Mus musculus: one gene and its partner. The protein of the gene in region 1 interacts with the protein of each later gene in a biochemical or structural test. Links are inferred from orthologs where the notes say so. Each region holds a gene or a part of one and is shown on either strand. Other genes may lie near its edges.

Region 1 (4,251 bases):
CACACACATGGACGCGCGCGTGCACACACATACACACACACACACACTCGTGCACACGCATGAGCACTCAGACTAGCTAGACTGAGGATACACTCCCCCAAGAAGACTCCTTCTCAGCAGTTTCTCTGCAGGGGCATCTTGGTAGCGGTGTCTGTATTTAGTCATCCAGATACTGCTGGATCCCCCCATAGGATCCGCAGGATCTCTTGAGGTATAGATGAGATACTTTTTTTTTTTTAATCCAAAGGTACCAAAAGGTCTAGGAGGTTGGGGACAAGAGAATTAAGAATCTATTCTCTAGGCTTCAAACCCTGAGTTCCATGGCAGGTCCCTGGACTGGGCCAGGCAAGAAGCACAGACCATGTATTTTATAAGGGCAGGTGGGCTGTGTTCTTGCTGGGGCACCCTGAGCCTCAGCCAATATCCTGTGTGTATGTGTGTGGAGGAGGGGTGTGTGTGTGTGTGTGTGTGTGTGTGTGCGTGCATGTGTGTGTGCACATGTCTATCTTTGATGGTGGGCACACTACCAGGATGAGTAAGAACCAGGCCTTCTGAGAGAAACCAAAACCATCTCTGGGAAGAAGGGAGTAGCTAGAGCTAGGGCAGAAGGTGACATCGGCCTTCTATGGGGGAAGAACTATGTCTATTCACAGCCTGTCTCATAAAAAGGAAAGCATCTGTTAGAGGAACACACAGGAAGAGTTTTACAGCAAATGCAAGCATCTCTTCATGTCTAGAGAAGGCAAATGGAAGAGGCGCTGTTTTATCCAAGCACGGGACAACCCTCTGTAGCCTCCTGGGTCCCCTCAATGGCCTTTCCTACCAGAGTCATTTTTTTTTCCAAAACTTCCCAACTCCAGACTCACCAGCTAAAAAAACTGTCTCCTTCAAAGCAGGTGACTTCATCTCGGCTGGGCAGGGGGCTGGGTGGGTTGGTTACCCAGGGCCCTTGGCTCTGCCAGGAACAAGGTGCCTTGCAAGGGCAGTCCCAGGTGGCCAGGAGCCCTCTCTGGTCTCTGAAGTTCTTTCTCTAACACAACTACGCTCCAGGGGTCACAGAACCTTCCCTTTTATAGACACGGAGGCTGTGGTCTCCACCGAGACAGCCCCACAAACATGGTCAGACAGCCATGGTGTGCCTCTGTCCATTTCCCTTCCTGTGCTTTTTCTGGCCTTTCACCCACCCCTCCCTCATCCATGTCCTGACTCCTCCCTCCCTCAATATCCCTCCCCTGCTCCTTCCCAACCCAGCCAGCTGCCCAAGTTCCTGGGCCTCTCCATTCATTCTCTTCCCTCTGCCCACATTGCCCATTCTGACCCTGCCCGTGTCCTTCAAGCTCCAGTTCAAACGTTACATTGCCCATAGGCAGGTCTGACCTGAGCCCGGGGTATCTCTCTCCCAGGCCCCTCCCAAGCCCCCCTGCACTGCACCGAAGGAAGGCCTGGTTATCAGAGCACAGCCCTATTTCCCCCTGAGGAAGGTGAATCAGTCCTGGGAGGGCTGGCCCAGTCCACTCCCACCCTTCCACCTTAGCACAAGCCCTAGGGGAGCCAGTACTCAGTAAATGTTTGCTTAATTGAATCTGGCCAAGCAGCTTCCTCTAGACAGGGGCCAGGTTAGCAGACCTAGATGATGATTCTCAGCGCTAAGAAACCACTTGGGCAGAAAAGAGTGTCAAGGCTCAGGGTCCTGCCCCAATCTCCTCCACAGACAAGGCGACATCGTTACCAGGCTGGTCCCTCCACCCTGAGACTCACACTCCAGGGAACCCTGGTCTCACTTGGCATTGCTTTCCCATCCTCCTCTCTGTAACAGGATCCCCAATTCTCGGCCTAGGCAGATTCCTGCCATCCTCCATCCAGATAGGCTCAGCACCTCCCTAAAGGCAGAGCCCCCATAGATTCACCGCAGGATCCGGAGCAGAGGCCCTCACACCCCTCCCCAAACACCCCACCGCCTTTTAAGGGAAAAAATATTGAGCCAGGAACACATTACAATCGCAGCAGGTCGATACTCATCTCTGGCTCCAAATGCCTCCAAGGAACCTGCTCCGTTGCAAGAGCGATGACCGAGAACAGCGAGCTGTTGTACCGGGCCTCAGGGCCCTCTCTTCCCGTTTTTATTTTTTTATTTTTTTACCCAAGGCCAAGCTCCTGACACCTGCGGCTGCCTGTACCCCTGGACCCCCGGAGAGAGACCCCCCGCCTGGCGTCGCTCCTGCAGATCGCCCGCCTGCACTCCGCACCCGCTCAGGGCGTGCAGTGGTCCCACATCATCCTCTGCACCCCCTGCCCAATTTCGTCAGGTGGCAGCCACCCCTTCCAAGGGTTACTGGGCCGCCGCTCCTCCCTCCCAAGGCACCTGTCTGGGCCATAGCCACCCCCTGCCCACCTAGCAGACAACCCCACCCCTAGCGGGCTCTCCCACCCGGAGGGGCATCCCTGCCTCTGCACCCCTAGCCCTATAGATCTCGGGTCCCCAGCACAAAGGCCCCAGGCCCCGACCCGGGTGGGGGTGGGGTGCGCCCCAGCCGCGCCCCCAGCCCCGGGTTCAGCTGTGCGCGCCGGGGCCGCTGGTGCGCTCACTCACTCACCTCCCGGGCGCGGCTTCGTGCGTCGGTCGAGCTGCACCCGGCGGGGCGGGGCCGCGAGCGTAGGGCTGTGGCGCCCTGGTTCTGCACGAAGCGGGTGCCGGCGGCCGCGCGAGGACGTGACCGGTCCGCGGGTGGCACACACGCTCCGCCGCCCTGGCTCCCTCCTCCGCCCTCCCGCGCCGCCTGCAAGCGGGTCCACCCGCCCCGCACCGCGCCGCCGCCGGCAGGGGGCGGAGTCGCGAGCGCAGTCCGTTGCCAGGCCAACCGCGGGCGGGGTCTGCCGCTTGTCTGCCCCGCACCACGCGCTGCCGCCCGACCACTAGCTCCGGCTCGTTTTCCATTGGGCGATAACTGCCGACGGACGTGCGAGTAGTCCAATAACGACAGACAGGGGAGGGGCGCGGCTGTGCGCGCGCCGCCTTACCGCACGCGCTGCTGGCTCCAGCTACTGTGGCACTGCACTGCGCCGAGCCTTCCCGAAGCTACTTCTAGCATCTTGGGAAACCCACCTTCAGAGCAGTGTAGCCCCGGTTCCTTGCACGCTGGCTTTCCTGCCCTACCTCAAATGGGGTTCGAACTCAGCCCTGGCAACCTATTCTCCCACAATGTCTTTTTGCAAGGTGCTGTCGTCCAGGCTTCCTTGGATAATGTCAATAATCCTTTAGGGCGCGAGAAAACCCTGATGGGTTAAGCTGGAGAGATTTCGCAGCATATGGTTCGCCCTCTCTTCTGCTCTCCTTTTTTAGCATGTAGGGGCACTTCTGGGAGTCGACCCCCGCAACAGAGAGAAGCCGAAGGGTCCCAGATCAATGAAGCCCCTGACCTCTTTGGAAACTCCCCAGGAGACATCAGATCTTTGACAAACGAACCTAGCTGTGAGATTCTACTCTCATCAGGAGGAGTCCGTCTGTGGGTCTTGGCTGGTAGTACCTTACTCCTGTACAAGAAAGACTCAGGCCAGGTGCCACCACAATAGTGCCTCTCTGCCTTCTCCATCCTTGTAACTTTAAGCATATGTGCCTTAGAGCCCAGGATGAGATGGGGAGCCATGACGATAATGTTGGTGCTTGCCAGCTAGACGCTCCAGAGGCAGGACAACATCACACCACTTTCCGTGGGATTGTCTCAATTGTGCAGTGGCTGACTGTTGTACTGCATACCCCAGGTAGACAGCCCACCTGTGAAAGGGCTGCCTAAACTTTTAGGGATGGGACCAGGTACTGGTTATGGGTACTACTGAAGCCAGTCAAGACACCTGTCTTGCTACAGTGACCAATAAGGACCGAAGGACTTTTGCTAATGGCTAAAGAGCATTTCTACCAACTCATCCGGCTGTGCAGCCAGTCTGTCACTGGAACCTGGCTGAGAGTCAGTCTCCTAATCTGTCAAAAACTGTACTATCGACTCTTCAGAGGGTTAATGTATGTAGGAAATACACCTTAGCAAGTGATTTAGGCTGGGCAGAGGCAGTTTCTGCAGCAGGTTCAGGGGGCAGAGTTCATCCTTCTGCTGAGGGTAAAACCAATGTAGGAATTACATTTGACAGTTGAATTTGCAATGGAACTTACAATATTCCTGGCGAGGGAGCAGAGGCTAGTCCCTAGACAGTCTACCTGGGCTGGTTGGGGTCTGCTGGACCTGACACTGGCAACTACCA
Region 2 (4,573 bases), on another chromosome or scaffold:
AGAGCTATGAGGAAAGAGCCAGAATTCTAGTCTTCCTTCAGCCGCTCACTAGTTGAAATCCTAAACTCTCTGAATGTTTCCTCATTTGTAAAATGAAGAAGGTCGAAGAAGTAATCATAATCATCCTATATTTTATATGATAGATAGCTTTTGGGGTGAATTGTTTAGTATTCTTCAAAATGTTTCTTAAATAAAAGATCAAATACCTCACTTCAGTATTTATATTGGCTATTTTATAAATGCCATGATTTAATGTGTAATTCTTTAAATGTATATTTGGTCAACAAAAGGAACTCTTTTCCTGATTGTCTGAGACAAGGTCTCATGTAGCCTAGCCTGGCTCTGAATTTGCTATGTGAGGGAGAATGGCTTGAGCTTCCGATCCTCTTGTGTGTTGGGATTACCTTCATGGACACAACAGAAGTTTACACAGCGCTGGGGCTGGAACCTGGGGCTTTGTGCATTTAGACAAGTGCTCTATCAACTGAAATATATATCTAGCCCCCATAAACCCAACTCTTTAAAGCACTTAATCATTACTATTGGGATCTTGTTTGTTTGCTTGGTTGTTTTTGTGTGTGGTGTATTGGAGGGGTGGTGAAGACATGGTTCACAAGGAGGTCAGAGGACAGGTTTGTGCAGTCAGTTCTTTCCTTCCACATTTACATGTGCTTTTGGGTGCCTGGATTTAAATTTAGGTCCTCAGGCTTGCACACTAAGTGCTTTACCTGTTGTAACATCTCACCAAATCCAACTCTTTTTAAAGAGAAAAGTTCTCTTCAAATTATGTTAGATGCTTATATGCAAATATCTCTTATTTATCCACAAAGGGTCCAGGGATAGAGAAATGAATTGTATTTAAATTTAGGAATTGAGAGAAAACATTTACTGCTTCATGCTTTTGATACCAAAACCCTTTTTAGTGTGTAAACATATTGTTTATAGCATATGAAAACAGGCATCATGCTATTGATCTTTATATTCCTTTTTTTTTTTTGAGAAAGAATGACAATATGTAGCTCACTTGATCTCAAGTTCTATATTTTCCTTCCCTAGCCTTGGGAGAGCTGGGGCTAGTGATGCATCCATACTTATATGTTCATAATGTCTTTAGATTTTGAACTCCACTAGGCCCATGTTGCATCAATATAATAACAGTAGGAACAGATTTTTTATTTACAAATTTTATATCTATGCATGAGTGCCTGCATATATGTGGGAACACTACAAGTATGCCAAGTGCCTGCTGAAGCAAGAAGAGGAGACTGGATCCCCTAGAACTAAGGCTACAGGTTGTTGAGAGTACATTCGTTTAACCCATGAGCCGTCTGTCTGTTCAACGATTTGACTAGTTTTTACATAGCACGAGCCCAGAAATTGTGCTGTATTAACCTGCAGTGGCGAGTGGGCGCCAAGGCCATTCAGCCAGCTATCTGGCTGTGAAGTCTTGGAAACCCACAAGAGGGTGGCCTAGAACACAGTCTCTGGAGAGGATTTCCTTTCCAGCACTCTCAGGACAGAAACCCTCCTGCACCACCACTTTCTTCACGCTGTGGCTCTGTTCTCCACCTGAGGGCGCAGAGGCAGCAGTTGCTATGGCCAGAACCCCCTTGCCCGCTTTAGCCCCACGTCCATCAGCAGTTGTGTGAGTGTGGCTAGCTAGCTCTTCTTGCCCAGGTTTTGCTTGCTGCTTATGGACTCGAGGAAGATCCTGACCCAGCCCAGCCCCAGAGAGCCCACCTCTCCCGCGCTCCACCTTCACACCTTCAGACCTGCGCGGTCGCAGCGCCTGTACCCTCCCCAACGCCCACCTTCGGTCGCCCACTCCCTAAGTGTGGAAATCCTTCAGCGCATTGAAACGTCTCCCCAAACACCCACCCCACCCCCGCGTGTGCCGCTTCCGAGGCCTCTCCCTTACCCACTCCCCTGAAGCAGTAGGTGGGGTTAGCCACAGATCTCCGAAAGAGCACACCCTTGTCCCAGGGAGCTGTCTCCCTTTAGGCTCCTTGCCAGCCCAGTTTCCCCAAGTCTGAGGGCACCATCATACAAAGACCCGACTCCCCATCGCTCACCTCCGCGCAGCCTCTCTGCTTCCTACCCGAACCTTCAGTCGCTGCAGCCTCGGCACGTCCTCGGGTTCCAACCTCCCGAGCCCCCCGAGTGTGGGAAATCTAGCTCCCAGGCCCGATAAGGACAATCCCCACCCTCTCTCCCTTAAGTGACTGTTCGGTCTACTCAGTTGTCTGGTGTTGCTGCCCGCAGCGCTCCGGGCGCGGTCTGAGCGCCTACTTGAAGCTCAGCTCCGCCAGCCGGCCTGTGATGCGCTTCTCTGAAAGGGAGGTAGTGCGTTCCGGGAGTGTCACCTCCTCAACCTGCGCTCAAATTGCCCGCCCCGGGTCCTCAGACCGAGGCGCATCCTTCCCCCAACTGAGAGAGAGCCGAGACTCTTCCACTCGCTTGGGCTCTCCCAAATGCTTGGCATGTCTGATGTGCACTTTAGACCTTAATGGCATTTTTCGTCCCTCGCTGAGTCTCAGAGTCCGGACCACCTGCTTGGTGGGTCTGATAATAACCGATCACAATGGTTCGGAGCCTTCCCTCAGACAATGAGATGTTCCGAACTCACAACCCACTCGCCTCAACTGACTAACCCTAAGGGCGATGACCAGCCAGGGATTGCACCACCGGGCAAGGAGAGACTGGCGTCCCAGGTTCCTCGAGCTCCTTCTACTGCCAGGTCCAGGGCTTCGGGGGGGGGGGGGGGCAGGGAGTCAGAGAGGAAGACGAGGAGGACGCCAGGTACTTACCAGGCCAGGGTCCGCTGGGCTAGCCGAAGGGGAAGCTCTGGCCCTCGGGCCTCCGTTGGCCGTGCGCATGCGTCCAGAGTGTGCCTTAGTTTTCTTACACTAGTCAGAGCGGTTCCTACTCCGCCCGCGCTGGCTCTCTGCCACCCGCCCTTTCCTGCGTTTCTGGGTCTAAGCTCCGGAGCTCTTCTCTCTTCCTCCTCCTTTCCCTTCTCTGACTCCTCTCCGCCCCGGCGCTCGCTCGCTTTCCTGGGGCAGGGCAATCCCCTGGCTCGCCTCCTTCTGGCGGCAGCACGCAGCACTCGGAGGCTGGGGGTACTCCCTAGTCCCAAATCGGGCGAGCGGAGCCCCGGTCCTGGCTCCTCTCTTATAATCGCAACGAAATAATGGGTGCGGCGGGAGCGAGCTTTGAGGGTGCCTGTAAGGCCCTTTCTCTTTATCCCCTGGCCTTAGCTTGCGGGGGACGCCGTGGGGTGGGGGCGATCCAGAGTTTGTGAATGAGTACTGGGGCCTTGTGAATGAAGAGATGCTTGGGGGTACGGGGAAAGGTCGCGAGAGGAGCTGGTGCTTTGTACCCCGGGTCTCGCGCCTGTGAACTGCCCGCCCCTGCTGGACAATCCCCACTGAACCCTTTGACCTCAGCGCCACTAACATCCGCCCCCAACTCTCTTTGTATAGCCTTTCTAAGAGATCTGTTCTCCCACTCTAAACAGTGGTCCTACTCAGTTCCGGCCAGCCAGCCAGAGTCGGATGGCCCCACCTGGCGATTGGGATGGCAGGGTGGAGTGTATGTAAGAAAGCCTAAGCCGGGACTCCGGTCTCTCTCAGTCCCTCGGCAGTCTCCCTTTCTTTTGCGACTCAGGCGGTGGGAGGGGAAGCCCCGGGCATTTGCAGAACCTGGCGCCTACCTCTGAGGATGCCCCTCGCCCGGGTCGCCGCAGCTAGCGAAGTAACCCTTGAAGTGAACCCCTGGGGCAGTGCGCCTGAGCTCGGAGGGCTAAACTCAAGCAGCAAAGTGACCTGACACAAAAATAACATCACGTCATTTCCTCCCTCTTCCTGGGAAGAGGAGTGGGGGCATGAACGCGGCTGCGAGCGGTTACAAAGTGCGGGGATGCTTGGGGAGGCTCGAGGGGAAGCTGCAACTACAGTTGGAAAAGATCTTCGGAGGCGTCAGAGGGCTTCCTCTTGCTTCCTAGGATGGTAGAAACAGAACAGATCGCTTGGGAGAAAGTAGCTCTAATGCCTCGGTGGAGGTGGGAGTGTCCGGGAGCCTCAGGTGCCCTTTCCTCCAGTGTGCCCAGCGCTGTGCCAATCTTTCAGTATCCAGGCCAGCCCGGGTGGGCTGGGTCAATCAGGATTAGAGCGAGTGGGAAAGGCTGGGGCCTCCAGAAGCCGAGGGTGGGTTTAGTGGAGTTCCCAGTACTCACGGACTCGGGTGAACTCTTTTCAGTACAGGCGTCCTCTCCTCTGGGCTCCGAATTCGGACTTGCCAGCTTCAGTAGACGACCCCTCGGACGTCGTCCTGGCAGTGCCATTGAGGCCACAAGTAGGAACAGGAGGCGGTGGGGCTCTGGAGAGAGCCAGGCAGTAGGCCAGGAGCTTGGCTGAGAGGGAAAGTCCCTGCGCCCAGGCAAGCCACGGGAGGGGGTCGCCGCAGAAGACACAAGAACAGCTGGAGAGCAGGCTAGAAAGGTGGCGAAATGAGTCGACCCGGTGGAGTCTGGGAGCTGTGCAGGGCGGAAGGCGGGAAGGGTGTGTAAGAAAGG

The links.
Region 2: the proteins of Gnaz (region 1) and Rgs20 form a complex in vitro, tested with the Homo sapiens proteins (2 studies listed by BioGRID, with this or other methods). The link is inferred for Mus musculus from reciprocal best matches to the Homo sapiens genes GNAZ and RGS20.

What each region holds. Positions count from the first base shown.
Region 1 is NC_000076.6:74,965,726-74,969,976, reverse strand, and holds the start of Gnaz (guanine nucleotide-binding protein G(z) subunit alpha), read right to left. Parts: upstream 2,801-4,251; 5' UTR 2,595-2,800; intron 2,555-2,594; exon of another isoform or gene 867-2,554; intron 1-866. UniProt on the Homo sapiens protein: Guanine nucleotide-binding proteins (G proteins) are involved as modulators or transducers in various transmembrane signaling systems.
Region 2 is NC_000067.6:5,016,504-5,021,076, forward strand, and holds the start of Rgs20 (regulator of G-protein signaling 20), read right to left. Parts: upstream 3,037-4,573; 5' UTR 2,877-3,036; coding exon 2,808-2,876; intron 2,232-2,807; exon of another isoform or gene 2,073-2,231; intron 1-2,072. UniProt on the Homo sapiens protein: Inhibits signal transduction by increasing the GTPase activity of G protein alpha subunits thereby driving them into their inactive GDP-bound form.